Rattus norvegicus: one gene and its partners. The protein of the gene in region 1 purifies or fractionates together with the protein of each later gene. This does not show direct contact. Links are inferred from orthologs where the notes say so. Each region holds a gene or a part of one and is shown in the gene's direction. Other genes may lie near its edges.

Region 1 (5,197 bases):
TCCAGATTTTCACTGGGCTCCAGGTTTCCCATTACACCCCAGTTCCGAAGAAAATGGCAGGGTAATTGCATGTAAAAAATTCCTCATTTGTGTGCGGGACTCAGGACTGTTTGGCAGCTCTGAGGCAGTTGATTAAATAGCAAAGCTCCGTTTATGAGGCAGCCTATAATTTGGTTTCTAGGACCTAATGCACCACTAGAGTTGTGTTTCTGAGGACCGTGAATGAAAAGAGGGCACTGGTCCATACCAGCTAGTTCCATCGTCTTGGCAGGTTGGTTTGGTTCTTGGTTGGGGGATGGGAGAGCAGAGAGGCTCTGGCCATCTCTCCATTCGCAGTTTACTACGAGGGTTTGTAGTATGGGATGTCTTGGGGGTAGTAGAAATGACTTAGCCTTTCAGAATTATTTATGTTGACCCATGACATGGTCAGAACTCCAGGGGCCTGCAGAACCCACAAGTTCTAAAATAATGATCTGTGGCCCGAAATCTCCATTTATAAAATCTGGGAGGAAAAGAGGCCTTTGTCATTGATGCTTTTCCAAGGCAGTCTTGGTCCTGGTGAGAAGCTGGAATTCCCTCTGGTTTTTCCTAGCTTGCCCTGTGAAAGCATTCCAAGCCTGACAGAAGAAAAGGCTGCTGTGGGGTTTGGCAAGGCCTGTAGATCTGGGTAACTGAGCTTTTCCGTGAATGCCTTGATCTTCTCAGATAAACCTGGCCTTAGGGTCTCTGGTAAACTTCAAGGAGTCTTACACCTTAGGAGAGACAGCAGATCTGAGGGGCATCCGTTTTGTGTGACCTATTAGGCTCTGCTTTTTCTCTCTTTAAAGAGGAAATGGTTTCCATTTTCTGCATCCCTCTTTTGCAGTGGTTTTTGAACACTGAGGTTCTTCCAGTCCCTGGAGCCTTTTCTGTGGGCTTGTTTACATCTTCAAGGTACTTTTGGAGATTGGGGCTACTGGCCATTGTGAGCTAGGTTCCCTTAGGAAGTGCTAATGGAGCTTGGTTTGCCTGGAGGACTGTCTTAAGCCCCCAAAGCATCAGTAGCCACCATTTTAAGAGAAGTGGTGGGATGACCACGTTCGATTTCAAACCTCCTGACACTGATCCTGTTGTTGGATTTGTTCACAACGTAAGTGCCTCTCTTTTCTCCTTTCCTCCTTTTCTCAGGCTAAGTAGACAAGATGCAGCTTTGGCGACTCCACTTTTTATAGCTACACTCTTCTGCCCTCTGACTTTAAGTGACCTGGGCAGTCCTCTCTCTCTTCTGTCTGTTGGTAAAATGGGGGATAATCCAGACCTCATGCCCCCAAGGCCTTGTCAGGGAGGGCTAATGAGGGCAGGGCATGGAGAACCGATAGTTTGAACAATGGTCAGTCCTCCTTTGGGGCTAGCCAAAGGGGGCAAAAAGCAGGGCTCACTCAGCTGGGTCTCAAGAGCAGGTCTGCAAAAGGCTTTGAAGAAGAAAAGTGCTGCGGAGGTGCTAAGTCGCAGCCAAGAGACCAGGCCCTGTGCCAGGGGGTCAGGTCCCGGCCGCTGCGGCCGCGGTTTCGGGCTCAGGCCAATTTTGCAGGCGCGGGTAAAGTTCACGCGGCCCGCTCCCTTCAGATCGGCCAGGAGGGGACAGGCCAGGATGGGAACGCCGCGAGAGAGGCGGCGCAGGCTCCGGAGGCGCGGGCTCCGGGCCGGGTTTTCCCCGAAGCCTTCGGCGGCGGCGCTGCCGAGCGAAAGAGGCTGAGGGCTTGCCGCCGCCGCGGCTCGTTCTCTCCCCTCCTCCTTTGTGAGGGGAAGGGAGCGAGTCCATTCCACGGCCTGCGCCCGCTCCGCGCTCCACTCCGGGTTTTTCAGGCGGCCGCGACGGCGCTGGGTAAAATGGCAGTGCTGAGCCTCGTGTCGGAGTGAGGGGGACTCGGAGGAGAGTGGGGCGCTCTAGCTGCTCAGTCCCGCCGCCCGCCCGCCCGCCCGCCCGCCCGCTCGTTCGCTCGCCTGCCGCCGCCGCGCAGCAGCCTCGGCCCGAGCCGCGGCCGGGGAGGCGAGGCAGGGCGCCCGCCGGAGCAGCGCTCCTACTCTGCCTCCCGGCGCCCCGTCCGCCGCCGCGCGCCCTCCAGCCCGCCCGTCCCGGGTCCCCCCTCCCCCCCGCTCCCTCCCTCCTTTCCCGCCCCCTCCCCCTCGCCTCCCTCCCTCCCTCCCTCCTCCTTTCTCCGGCAGCAGAAAGCGGAGAGTCACAGCGGGGCCAGGCCCTGGGGAGCGGAGCCTCCACCGCCCCCCTCATTCCCAGGCAAGGGCTTGGGGGGAATGAGCCGGGAGAGCCGGGTCCCGAGCCGACAGAGCCGGGAGCAGCTGAGCCGCCGGCGCCTCGGCTGCCGCCGCCGCCTCCTCCTCCTCCTCCGCCGCCAGCCCGGAGCCTGAGCCGGCGGGGCGGGGGGGAGAGGAGCGAGCGCAGCGCAGCAGCGGAGCCCCGCGAGGCCCGCCCGGGCGGGTGGGGAGGGCAGCCCGGGGGACTCGGCCCCGGGGCGGGGTGGGAGGGGGGAGAAGACGAAGACAGGGCCGGGTCTCTCCGCGGACGAGACAGCGGGGATCATGGCCGCGCAGGTCGCCCCCGCCGCCGCCAGCAGCCTGGGCAACCCGCCGCCGCCGCCCTCGGAGCTGAAGAAAGCCGAGCAGCAACAGCGGGAGGAGGCGGGGGGCGAGGCGGCGGCGGCAGCGGCCGAGCGCGGGGAAATGAAGGCAGCCGCCGGGCAGGAAAGCGAGGGCCCCGCTGTGGGGCCGCCGCAGCCGCTGGGAAAGGAGCTGCAGGACGGGGCCGAGAGCAATGGGGGTGGCGGCGGCGGCGGAGCCGGCAGCGGCGGCGGGCCCGGCGCGGAGCCGGACCTGAAGAACTCGAACGGGAACGCGGGCCCTAGGCCCGCCCTGAACAATAACCTCACGGAGCCGCCCGGCGGCGGCGGCGGCAGCAGCGACGGGGTGGGGGCGCCTCCTCACTCAGCCGCGGCCGCCCTGCCGCCCCCAGCCTACGGCTTCGGGCAACCCTACGGCCGGAGCCCGTCTGCCGTCGCCGCCGCGGCGGCCGCCGTCTTCCACCAACAACATGGCGGACAACAAAGCCCTGGCCTGGCAGCGCTGCAGAGCGGCGGTGGCGGGGGCCTGGAGCCCTACGCCGGGCCCCAGCAGAACTCGCACGACCACGGCTTCCCCAACCACCAGTACAACTCCTACTACCCCAACCGCAGCGCCTACCCCCCGCCTCCCCAGGCCTACGCGCTGAGCTCCCCGAGAGGTGGCACTCCGGGCTCCGGCGCGGCGGCCGCGGGCTCCAAGCCGCCTCCCTCCTCCAGCGCCTCTGCCTCCTCGTCGTCTTCGTCCTTCGCTCCGCAGCGCTTCGGGGCCATGGGGGGAGGCGGCCCCTCAGCGGCCGGCGGGGGAACTCCCCAGCCCACCGCCACCCCCACCCTCAACCAACTGCTCACGTCGCCCAGCTCGGCCCGGGGCTACCAGGGCTACCCCGGGGGCGACTACGGCGGCGGGCCCCAGGACGGGGGCGCGGGCAAGGGCCCGGCGGACATGGCCTCGCAGTGCTGGGGGGCTGCTGCTGCGGCGGCGGCGGCAGCGGCCGCCTCGGGAGGGGCCCAACAAAGGAGCCACCACGCGCCCATGAGCCCCGGGAGCAGCGGCGGCGGGGGGCAGCCGCTCGCCCGGACCCCTCAGGTACACAGCTGAGTGGGGAGGGGGCTGGGGCGAGCGGGGCAGGGGGGTGGGTGGCGGCTGTGGGGAGCAGGCCCCGGCCGTGGGCTCCCCTCAGGCTTGGGCCCCCACTGCCGGGGAGCTGCCATTGTCTGGCTCTTCTCTCTTAAAATGGCTGCCTGTCTGCCTTCCTCTCCTTCCCTCGATCAGCCTTTGTGTGGGGCTTTTCCAGAGGTGTCTGTCCGGTTTCTCCTCCTCCGCTGGTCCTTTCGAACTCTGGGGGTCTCCAGGGGGGTGCAGAGCAAAGTGTGCCTGGAAGGGCCAGGCCCGAGTGAGGGGGTGCTGGGGGTTCAGGTTAGGGGTGTAGGCAGTGTCAGGAACCCGGGAGAAAGAAGCAACATTTTCTTGCTCACCTGCCGTTCCTCTGTCCCCCTTGCCTTCCTCTAGGCAGTTCCCCAATATATGCTTTTAAAGAGTGGCCCCTAGGGCTCGGGGGACCTCGGGGGAGAGCTGGGGCCTGCTTGGGGGCAGCTTGAGGCCGACTGTGGTTCGCTCTGGGCCGCCCGGGCCACCTCTTTCCTTAGTCTCCGCCGGCCCAGTGGCCTGGGCTTCTCTCTGGAAGTGCTGGTAAACAGCTGAGTGATTGGAGTAGTAAGTGCAGATTGCTTTGGTTTGGGATTTGAATTATGGAGGTAAAATCCTTCTGTCAAAGCCAGGAGACAGTTGGTCTTAGGTTGACATCCTATCTGTGATCTGATTGGCTCCCCATCTTCTGCTCTTGGCCATTTATAATTGCCTCTGATGTAATGGTACAACAATCCTGATGAGCTCATAAACTTTTACACTCTGCTTTTCTGCCAGTGATAACCCAAACCATCGATGCCACCACTATCCGCCTTTTATTCCAGAGCTGAAATTGGCTGTGACCTTGAGGAGGGAGGTTTAAGCAGCAATACTGTATCAGCAGGAGCAGAGTCCCAGACAGGCTGCCCTTGTTACATTGTGCCTGAAACAAAAGAGGAGGCGATGGCATTTTGCTTGCACCTTGGATTTATTTTGCTTGTTATGTTTTATGCAGTCTGAAATAGATTCTGTGTTGCTGGAACAGTAGCTGAGTTTTTCCTCTACAATGGGTTTGCTGTTTGTTTTCGTTTTGTGACTTTCCTGATGGTATAAATGAGTTCTTTGATAGCTCTGAAGATACATTTGTCTCGAGTAGTTTTTGACACTGTGTTCAGCTACAGAACTGAAATTATTTTACTGGCTTTTTTTTTTTTAAATTAAAAGGCAAATGTGAGATCTGTAGGGGGAGAAGATGGTTTTGTTAATATTTTGCTGAGAGCTGGGAGCCTTCTGACAATTTCATAGTGGGTTCAAGAGTCCTGCAAGGCTTGTCTCTTTGTTTACATGTTGAATCTTGTGAACGTTTCCTTTTGTTAATTGAACTTTGGGAGAACAGCTCAATTGAAGGAGATGCTGATGGCCTTGTGGTCTAGGGAGAGATTTTCTCCTAAGGGCT
Region 2 (5,089 bases), on another chromosome or scaffold:
ACACACACACACACATATATATATATGTATATATATATATATATAAAATCATTTCATTGGGAATACAAAGTGAAGGATTTTTATTATGAAAAAGTCTCTGCCCAGTCTACTTAAAATGTGGTCTATGAAGCCAGGCAGTGTTGGCACATGCCTTTAATCTCAGCACTTGGGAGGCAGAGGCAGAGGCAGAGGCAGGTGGATTTCTGTGAGTTTGAAGCCAGCCTGGTCTACAGACCTAGTTATAGGACATCCAGGGCTACACAAAGAAACCCTGTCTCAAAGAACCAAAAGAGAAATACAGAATCTTGAACCCTGCCATTTCATTGAATCATAAACCACATTTTAACAAAAAGCTCAGATTTCTTTTGATATAGGGTCTCCTGTAGAATCGGCTGGAGGTGTAGCTGAGAACGACCCTGAACTTCTGGCCCACCTGCCTCCTCCTGTGTGCTGGGATTTTTGGCGTGTACCACCAGACAGTTTATGCAGTCTGGGGTTCAAGCCCGGGGTTTTGTGTATGCTAGGCAAGCACTCTATAACCTGAGCTACATCCCCCAACCCGATTCTGAGGATTTTCAGTGCCTAGTGAAGTTAAGTAGCACTGATTGTATACCGTGAGTGAGGAGGTACCACATTAGCAGAGGGGTAGGTCTATAACATAGCTGAAGCCAGGAGTTTCTGAAAAGGTTCTCAACTTTTCAAAAACTAGGTCCTATACAAACTGGATAAAACTTATTTCACTACCTGGAGTTCTCTCAGCATGCGAAATCCCTTCACCTAAAAACATTTTCTGCGGAGTAAATTACCAGGCTTCCTTAAAGGCACAGAAAAGTTAGTGCGGTAAGTACTCTGAGCTGGACCAAGTCAAGCTTTAACCCAGCTAGGTCATATCTGGGGTCGCCCATGTCCTTGGAAGCGCTCAGCAATCAATATGGGTGGGTGGGTGTGGGGTCCTGGAAGGTGAACGCCTTGTACTACTGGCCTGGCTCCTCAGGCCCTGAGATAGGCTCTTAAAAAGTTTTTGGCGGCCATTCCGCCGCGGATCGCTTATTTTTTTTTTTTTTTTTTTTGGTTCTTTTTTTCGGAGCTGGGGACCGAACCCAGGGCCTTGCGCTTCCTAGGTAAGCGCTCTACCACTGAGCTAAATCCCCAGCCCCGGATCGCTTATTTTTAAGGCCTGGAGACGCGGAATTGACTGTTTTGGAGGGCTATGTCGGACATTTCGCTGAGACAGTAGTCCTCCGGAGTAAGCGGCAAACACCTAACCATGGTGACGGCCCTACGTGACCTTCGAACTCTGACCCCGCGCCTCTCTCAGCGCTTCCGCGTGCAGCTTCCGCTCCCGCTCCTCCGGGAAAAGGCGGTCCCAGAGGGCGGGGCTCTGAGGCCGTCAGTTATGGGCGGTGCTTGTTTGAGGCGGGTCTCGCGAGGGCGGGATTTAAAGACGCACTCTCGATTGGGCTGCCGGGCAGGGGCGGGGCCTGCCGAGGCCTGGGTTGGGCGGGGCTGGGAGTTCGTAACCGCCTCTGGGTAACTGGACTCCCGCGATCAAACCTCCGGAGGCCGGGAGAGGCCTGCGGGCTTGCAGCACATCCTGGATCTGGAGTATCCCTGGCAGGAGCGGAGTCAGAGGGGCTGCGGATCCTAAAGCTGGGCTGGGAAGAACTTGCGAACTTGGAATAGAAGATCCCGGAACCCGGTAATAAAATCGGAAAGTCCCGGATCGCGGAACAGAGCTCGCGGAGCGGACTCAACACGGAGACGAGAGGCCGGATCGCTGCACCGCGGGACGGGACAGAGTGATGTCGGGCCGTGGCGCGGGCGGGTTCCCGCTGCCCCCGCTGAGCCCCGGCGGCGGCGCCGTTGCCGCGGCCCTCGGTGCGCCGCCTCCGCCTGCGGGACCCGGAATGCTGCCCAACCCGGCGCTCAGGGGCCCGGGGCCTTCTGGAGGCATGGGGGTACCGGGGGCCGCTGCCTTCCGCCCCATGGGCCCCGCGGGCCCCGCGGCGCAGTACCAGGTGAGGAAGGCAGGCGGGCGGCGCCTCGAGGGCGCTGGGTTGGTCTCCCAGGGGCCTCAGGTGAGGACGGGCCGCCCAGGGGACACTGCAGGAGGAACTGTCGAGGGCTGGTGGCAGGCAGGCCAGAGTCCTTTGGTTAGTGGCTAGGGGTTGGAGGCAATGTTGGGGAAAGGGTGAAAGCCCTTTGCGGTGGAGGACTTAAGCAGTTAGAAGAGTCCCGGGAGTTCTTGGCATTGAGTAACTTAGAGATGGAGGCTTCGTGGGATTTAGAGAATTGTGGGCAATCAGGTTGAAAAGTGTAAGGCAGGTCCCGGAGTAGAGGTGAGGGAGTGACCCGGGATGTGGTGAGGAAATTTTGGAAGAGGGTCGTTAGTGAGAAAACAGGGCTACTCTTTCTTTGGAGTCGGTCCCACTGCATCTCTGCCTTGGCTGTTTTGTTTTTTGTTTTTTTTCCTAGTTGGGAACTGGCAGAGAGTTAGTATATCTGTGATGGCTCCCAGCTGCTCAAGTTGAAGCCTGGCTTCCTACGAAATGGGAGACCAAAGGGAGGGAGCCCAGATACTCCCAGGATAGATTAGAGATAGCGATGGCCAGGTCTGAAGAAAGCCCGATCGCATTAACAGACCCATCTAGATATCCTCTGTACTGGGCATTCTTCCTGATGTCAGTGTCCAGTAGTTAAGTTTGGAGGAGCAGGGAGGCTTTGTGGAGTCCTGCTGGTCTTGGGTTGCATAGGGTACTTCAAGACCCTTCTGTCTGGGAAGAGAGCAGTCTCAGGTTGCTGCGTCAAAGGTCGTTGACAAGCAGAGACAAGATCCTGTGGTCAGTGCACTGGGAACTCACCCAGCGGGACTCTGTATGTGGGGCTCCTCCTCATACCCCAGGGCTCTGGTTCAAGTTGCTCCGGGATATTTGGGAGTTTCATTTTGCTTTTCCTTTCGGTGCTGAGCCTGCACCGGGTGGAACCCCGGGCAGGCTTTGCACGAGGCAGATCATTGCTATCAGTGAACTGCACCTTTCCCAGAGTGCCTGGGACTGTGTCCATCCTTTCCCACATCCTTGTCACTTTTGGTCCTTGCTTTTTGATACAGGGTCCCATATAGTCTAGGCTGTGTAGCCAAAGCTGGCCTTGAACTCTTTCTGCCTCTCAAGTGCTGGGACTGCAGTCACGAAGGTCCGAAGGTGTAGCTTACTCTGTCCTCTGCTGGTGTCTCAGGTAGACGTCTCAGAAATAGATCTTCATGGAGCATGCATATTATACCCAGGAGTCAGATTCCTGAGGAGATACCTAACTGAGGGTTGGGATAAGTGACCCACTTCGCTTCTCTTTCTATCTCAAAAGAAAATGACGAGTTTGGGTATGAACAGGGATAGACTTGGTCCCAAGGATACTCTCTGGGGTTTATCTTTCCCATGTTGCTTTCTTTGGAGATTAATGGACCTTGTGTCTCACCGATGAGTACTGACATCAGTTATTCCAGCCCTTGGTCTTGCTTGCTTAGAACTGATCTGGTAGCTTCCTACAGACACTGGGGATATCTGGTTTGGTTAGTTTTCTGAGCCCTGGCTGTCCTGCAACTAATTATGTAGACCAGTCCCCTTGGCATGCAGCTGACAGAGAAGTACCCTTGGGAAAGTTCCTGTGAAGACGGGAAGATGGATTCCTGCATGCTTTGTAGAGAGTGACCTTGGGCCTATGCTGAGGCCAGGCTGGCCAGCTGGATAGCTGTGGCTACTAGTTGTGAGAAAGGAGATGGCCTTGAGTCTGGCATCTTGTTACCTCTTCCTCCTCCTCTTTGTCTTCCTCCCCTCCTCCTCTTCCTCCTCTGAAGGACAGGGAAAGGAGGAAGGAGAACCCCATTAACATGGGTTGAGTTTGAAGGAGACCCTGCTTGCTTTTTCCCATCCCTTCCAGGTGTCCATCTTCCAGAAAGGCTTGGGGTCTGAGGACAAAGGGGCTCCTCCTGGTTAGAGCTCTTGGGGGTGAGCAGGAAGGGCAAGGATGTGTGTGCTCAGGCTGGGCATGGGAAGGCTGCTGACATAAATTGATAGCTCATTTACCTCTAGAGGGTTTTTCTAGTTTTGGAGAACAATCAGCCTGAAGGGTTTAAAGTACCACGATCAAAACCAAAACAGAAAGCCTAGTGTGCATTATTGCCGGCTTCACTCAGCTCAGAGTTTAAAGTACCCTCTGTTCATAGGGCCAGGGTCTGGCCTCCAAATGAGGCTCTGAGGTTCAAGCAGCTCTTAGCAGGATCCCGGCTACAGACTTTTCTGGAGAGCAGAACATGCTTACTTGAGCCCTAGATTCTTAGCCCAGAGCTGGCAGGATGAGGTCTAGCCTACTTCCCTTATCTTCTTGGTGGTTATAAAATTTAGCCTAGAGGGTGGGCTTGGTGCTTGACCAAGTGGAAGTTACTGCATTCCGGAGTCCTGGGGACTTAAGCAGGCCTCGTACTCTGTGGTGGGGCAGGCTGGCCGAGAGGCTGAGACTCTGTTTCAGTGACTTTGTTTTGTTTTTAAGTCGGAGTTACTCAGCTCTTCAAAGCCCAGGTGTAGAGCTCGACAAGAAGAAACTAGGACTTGAATTGTGAGCAGCCTTCCCCTGAGGCTGCGGGTGAGCCAGGGGACTGAAGCCCAAGCCCCAGAAGTGGGGAACAGATGTCTGGGTGGGGCCTATTCCAGGCCTGCCTGGGCTGCCTTGCGGGGGGATTTCCTGGAGGGCTCAGCAGTGCTATAGGCTTTATGAACCTTGGTGGAGAGCTTTTGGGGGACCAGAGCGCCTCAGATATATCTGCAGTAACTCTAGGGAACCCTCAAGTCTGGGTGATGATGGGGTCTTAGAGCTTCGGCCACCTGAGGCTTTTCTTTTGTCCCCTCCCCCCTTCTATAATCTCTGGCTCTGGCTTATTAGAGCAGAGAAACAGGCTGTCTTCTGCCTTTCAACAGCTTTGATGAATTTCTTCCTGATGAGGAGAGACTTGTGGCAGGACTCCCAAGGTCCCAGGGTCTCCCACTTTTAACTCCTCAATTGCCACTGTATCCTTGCTCTGCTCCTATCCCCTTTCCCT
Region 3 (4,929 bases), on another chromosome or scaffold:
CTGTCAGGAGTAGGTTCCCTCTTCTATGATGTGGGGTCATCTATTGAGTTTAGGTCATCAGGCTTTGTGGCAAGTCCCTTGTTCACCGAGATATCTTGACAGCATTCATTTTCTTTAAGTAAACCTTTAGCTGAACTATAATACACACAAGAAAAATTACAAGTAATAAATGTCCATCTTGACAGACTAAAGACAAGTGTGACAAGCTCCCGGAAAACACCATGAATGTACTTGTGTTCTGAACTTAGATGTAGAATTATCTAATGCATGTTGTCACATCTGGCTTCTTTTGTTGCAGACCCATCCCCACCATTGCACATAGCAGGACTTTGGTTTTTCTGGTTGTTTTGTCTGTGCTCATGGTATAAACAGGTTGTAACTGGTTTTCCATTCCATTCTGTTGAGTGGCTCCCAGGTTGGTGCTATTATGAAGAGTACCGAACTTCCCAGTATACATATCTTGGTGTTCATACAGACACATTTCGTCCTAGTGAGGTTTCTATTGCTGTGATAAACACCGCATCTATTTCAGCTTGCAGTTATAGTCTGTTATGAAGTCAGGGCAGGAACTTAAAGCAGGAACTGAAGGAGGCCAGAACTGAAGCAAAACCTTGGACGAACTTTGCTTACTCACTTGCTCCCCAAGGCTTGTTCAGTCTGCTTTCTTAAAGTGCCCGGAGGTGGCACTGCCTACAGTGGTCTGGCTCTCCCACAACAACTATTATCAAGAAAATGCCCGGGGTTGGGGATTTAGCTCAGTGGTAGAGCGCTTGCCTAGCGAGCGCAAGGCCCTGGGTTCAGTCCCCAGCTCCGAAAAAAAGAAAAAAAAGAAAAAAAAAAAAAAAAAAAAGAAAATGCCCCATAGACTTACCTGCAGGGCAACATGATGGAGGCGTTTTCTCCATCAAGGTTCCCTCATTCCAGATAACCCTAGCTTGTGACGAGTTGACAAAAAAGAGGCAGCACATATTCCTTCTGTTGAGTGTTGCTAGTTTGGGAGTGGAAACTGTTGGAAGACGGGGTTGGCATAAGTTTTTCAATGGAAGACTGCCAGTTTTCCAAACTATCTCTACCAATTACACACCCTGATTCAAGGAATGGCAAGTTGCTCCTCTGCTACTTCATCTACATGGTCTTTTTCACTCCCGCCATTCTGATTGAGGAGGCCGGCTCTCCACTCGCAGAGTCTGGCTTGTACTAGGCGCTGTTAATGGAACTGTTCAATGAATGAATGAATGAATGAATGAATGTATGAATGAATGAATGAATGAATGAATGAATGAATGAATGAATGAACAAGTTAAGTTGGGCAGCTTAGAATCAAACAGCCTGGAGAGGGCAGACGCGCGCACACAGAGCATTTCAGGGACGCCCACCCGCCGCGGACGCACACCAGGACAGTCCCTCTCGCGCACCCCTGTGCCCACGTGGCCGGAACGCACCGCCTCGTTCGGGCCGCGCGCGTCCAGCCGCACCGCTGCCCCCCAGCTCTCCCTCTCCGCGGCGGGCAGAGGGCGCTGTGCGTCCGTGCGCCCCGAGGGGCGGGCCCGGGCCGGGGCGGAGCTGGCCGGGCTTCCAGGCCGGGGCTCTAGCCGCCCGCGCCGCCCGGGCCGCTCCGGGGACGGGCCGGGGCGGGGCGCGGTCTCAGGAAGCCAGGCGGGGACGCGCGGAGGCGTTGGGGAGCGAGGGAGGGCGCGGCCAACTCCCGGAGGGACGGCAGGCCGAAAGAGCGGCGCCGGGGCCTGGCGCGCAGCCTGAGATCGCCGGACCGCAGGCCGCCCCACCACGGGCTCTGTCCCGGCCCTAGCCCCGCCAGCATGGCCGGCCGGACCGTGCGGGCCGAGACCCGGAGCCGGGCCAAAGATGACATCAAAAAGGTGATGGCGACCATCGAGAAGGTCCGGAGATGGTGAGCGCTGCCCCCGGGTCAGGGATACAGCCAAGCCACCTCCTCCAAACGCGTCCGCCCTTTCCTGGCCCGCTGCCCCCGCCCACCAGCTGTGATCTAAATCGACAGGGCGCCCCCTTTCCTTGGCAATTCCCAGAGGTCTACAAAGCGTGGTCCGGAGTGGTGCTTTCCCTGAGCGGGAGCCCTCATCTATGCCCCGCCCCCTGAAGCTTTTGACACTCTCGCAAGCTTGGCCCGGGGTCTTCATTGCCTGAGTGCCTGGGCAGGCCTTGGTGGCGCCCTGCTGAGTGCCCCAGGTGTCTGCAAAACCGCAGCTCCAAGTTATATCCGTTTATGCTTTGCCCTGGGGTTTAGAGGGCTCTTTCTGCTTCTATGCCGTGTAAACGAAGCTGTCCGTACCCTAGCACACCTCCCTGACCTCCAGTCTGTGGGGCTCACCCTTGGGCCTCCCTGACCCAGTCTCCTGACCTCCCACAGGGAGAAGCGCTGGGTGACTGTGGGTGACACTTCCCTTCGAATCTTCAAGTGGGTGCCTGTGGTGGATCCCCAGGAGGAGGTGAGCAAGCCCAACCCCCAACATGCCTTGCATCTGTGCAACCTCAAGCAATTTCCCTCCCCTTGGCCTCCACCTTCAGTCGGCTTGGAGACTCCACTGTGGAGCCCAGGCAGATGGTAACGATTATTAGGGGGCATGAGCACGGAAGCGCGCGCGCGCGCGCGCGCGCACACACAAACACACACACACACACACACACACTTTCTCCAAGTTCAAGACCTAACTCGGCCTACACAACCTGAGGCAGCACCTTTTGCTTCTCTGAGCCTAGGTTTCCTTATTTGAATTGAAGGACTTTGTAAGAGCTCCCTGGACAAACTAGCTCTGATCTTACTTCTCTAACCCTCAGGAGAGGCGGCGGGCAGGAGGAGGGGCAGAGAGATCTCGTGGCCGGGAGAGGCGTGGTAGGGGCACCAGTCCCAGAGGGGGTGGCCCCCTCATCCTGCTGGATCTCAATGGTATGTAGAGATTCTGGAATAGGGGTGGGGGGGCTGGGTGCTGAAAGAAGCCACTGGGGTCCTCTGGCCAACTAACTTGACTTTTGCTTCAGCAGATGAGAACAGCAATCAGAGTTTCCATTCCGAAGGTTCACTGCAAAAGGGCACGGAGCCCAGCCCTGGGGGGACGCCCCAGCCCAGTCGCCCTGGATCACCAACTGGACCTCCAGAGGTGATTACAGAAGATACTCAGCCCCCACAACTGGGCCAAGAGAGAGGTAGGACCATGTGGCTCTTGGGAGTCCTCTCCTCACCAGAGTTGAACCTACCGCCTTGTATGTGTTTCTATATTGTGTTGTGTCCCCCCCCCCCTCCCCCGTCCTGCCTCCCTCAGGGAACCTTTCCTGACCCTGGCAGAAATTACCTCTGGCTGTGCCTGGCTCATTCCTTGGCATCTTGGATTTGTAGGGAGCGTGTCGCCATCTGAAAACTTTATGTAAATGTACTTTTTGCTTGCTTATTGCCTCTCTGTTACCATCTCATGTCAGACACACTGATCTGGTTCATGTGGGACGCATAATAGATGTTCGGCAACTAAATAATTCTGATAACCCTAGGGATTAGTAACCGTAGATTAACAGCTGACAGAACCACTTATCTGTTAGTCATTCTTCTGAGCACTTCAATGTTTTGTGGTTTGTTTTCTCATTTAACCCTCACTGACATTTTATGGAACCAATGATCCTATGATGATTCCTATTTATACACGAGGAGCCCAACATCCAGAGAAAGATGCCCAGACTTGCAGAGCCAGTGCGCCAGCTCCTCGGCCTTCCTGTAGTCCACCCCCCCTTCCCAGGCATGGCTGACTCCCGTGCCTTTGGCGCTCCCTTCTCACTTCTCACTTGCACTGGCTCTCGCCTCCACATGCTACAGCTTTCTTAGAGCAGATTCCAATCGGCCATTTTCCTGCTTTGTGTCCTTCGTTGGCTCCCGTGGCCTTTGATTCCTTCGTTTGAACCAGAGGCCTTTATAAACTGTTGCTACTGAAATTGTTCCCCTGTCAAGAACACCATGACATGGGGCTTGGGACCACACCTAGGTTGTCCCAAATACTTTCGCTAATATGAAATGATGGGGCAGGGCATGCAGCCCAGTGCAGGTGCTTGTCTGTCATGCCTAAGGTCCTAAGCCCCATCTCTAGTACCACAGAAATGAATGAATGAATGAAACTGCTAGCTGGCACTTCTTGAGCACATACTATGTGCCGTGTACTTGATCCACACAGCAGCCTCTCATGGTGTTACTGTCACTATTTCCATTCTGCGGATGACTGAGAGTCTGTGGTCACTAAGCACATATTTCTATCTGCCTAAATTCTACTCTACCTCCGTTTGCCTCCTGGCTCATTCCCTACTGACAAGATCCAACTTGAGTCTTCCTTCCTCAGCAACTTGGTACCCCTCTGCCCCCACAATGTCATCATGTGTGACCAGTGCCTGTCTGTTTCCTTTGCCCCTGGTCCACTCTCTCAGCACAGAGTAGCTGCTCAGGAAGTGTCTCTTTGTTTGGTGTTACAGATCCAGGGGGCACACCTGCAGGAGGTACTGATGAACCCCCAAAGCTGACCAAGGAGGAGCCTGTTCCAGAATTGCTAGAAGCCGAGGTGAGAGAGGCCAGAGTCCGGACTCTGGCCTTGTGGGGACTGGAGGCTTTGGGGAAGCAGGGAGACTTCATTCTAGGCTCCAGGAGGGAGACGTGGACCTAGAGCCCACAGAAGGCTTAGCTGGAGGTTGGATTCTTGGGTGAAGGAGAGGATTGCAGACACCACCCTGAGGGCTGATCATGGCTGATAGAAGAGCACTAGAAGCCTGAAATGATCTTGGTGCTCCCCTAAGGACTTAAAAAAAAAAAAAAAAAAAAAAAAAAAAAAACCTAGGCTCAGAATTCGGCTTGGTGGTACTTACTTCCTAAGCATGCGCAAGAGCCTGGGTCCCCCGCATCGCACAGACACACATCCTGAGCTG

Evidence for each region.
Region 2: the proteins of Arid1a (region 1) and Smarcd2 purify together in Homo sapiens (affinity purification with mass spectrometry; 7 studies listed by BioGRID and IntAct, with this or other methods). This does not show direct contact. The link is inferred for Rattus norvegicus from reciprocal best matches to the Homo sapiens genes ARID1A and SMARCD2.
Region 3: the proteins of Arid1a (region 1) and Bcl7c purify together in Homo sapiens (affinity purification with mass spectrometry; 5 studies listed by BioGRID and IntAct, counting the BioPlex papers as one, with this or other methods). This does not show direct contact. The link is inferred for Rattus norvegicus from reciprocal best matches to the Homo sapiens genes ARID1A and BCL7C.

Annotation. Positions count from the first base shown.
Region 1 is NC_086023.1:151,262,393-151,267,589, reverse strand, and holds the start of Arid1a (AT-rich interactive domain-containing protein 1A), read left to right. Parts: upstream 1-2,203; 5' UTR 2,204-2,577; coding exon 2,578-3,702; intron 3,703-5,197. UniProt on the Homo sapiens protein: Involved in transcriptional activation and repression of select genes by chromatin remodeling (alteration of DNA-nucleosome topology).
Region 2 is NC_086028.1:91,699,037-91,704,125, reverse strand, and holds the start of Smarcd2 (SWI/SNF-related matrix-associated actin-dependent regulator of chromatin subfamily D member 2), read left to right. Parts: upstream 1-1,717; 5' UTR 1,718-1,802; coding exon 1,803-2,018; intron 2,019-5,089. UniProt on the Homo sapiens protein: Involved in transcriptional activation and repression of select genes by chromatin remodeling (alteration of DNA-nucleosome topology).
Region 3 is NC_086019.1:191,751,270-191,756,198, reverse strand, and holds the start of Bcl7c (B-cell CLL/lymphoma 7 protein family member C), read left to right. Parts: upstream 1-1,557; 5' UTR 1,558-1,817; coding exon 1,818-1,909; intron 1,910-2,386; coding exon 2,387-2,465; intron 2,466-2,814; coding exon 2,815-2,923; intron 2,924-3,015; coding exon of another isoform or gene 3,016-3,018; coding exon 3,019-3,180; intron 3,181-4,482; coding exon 4,483-4,568; intron 4,569-4,929. UniProt on the Homo sapiens protein: May play an anti-apoptotic role.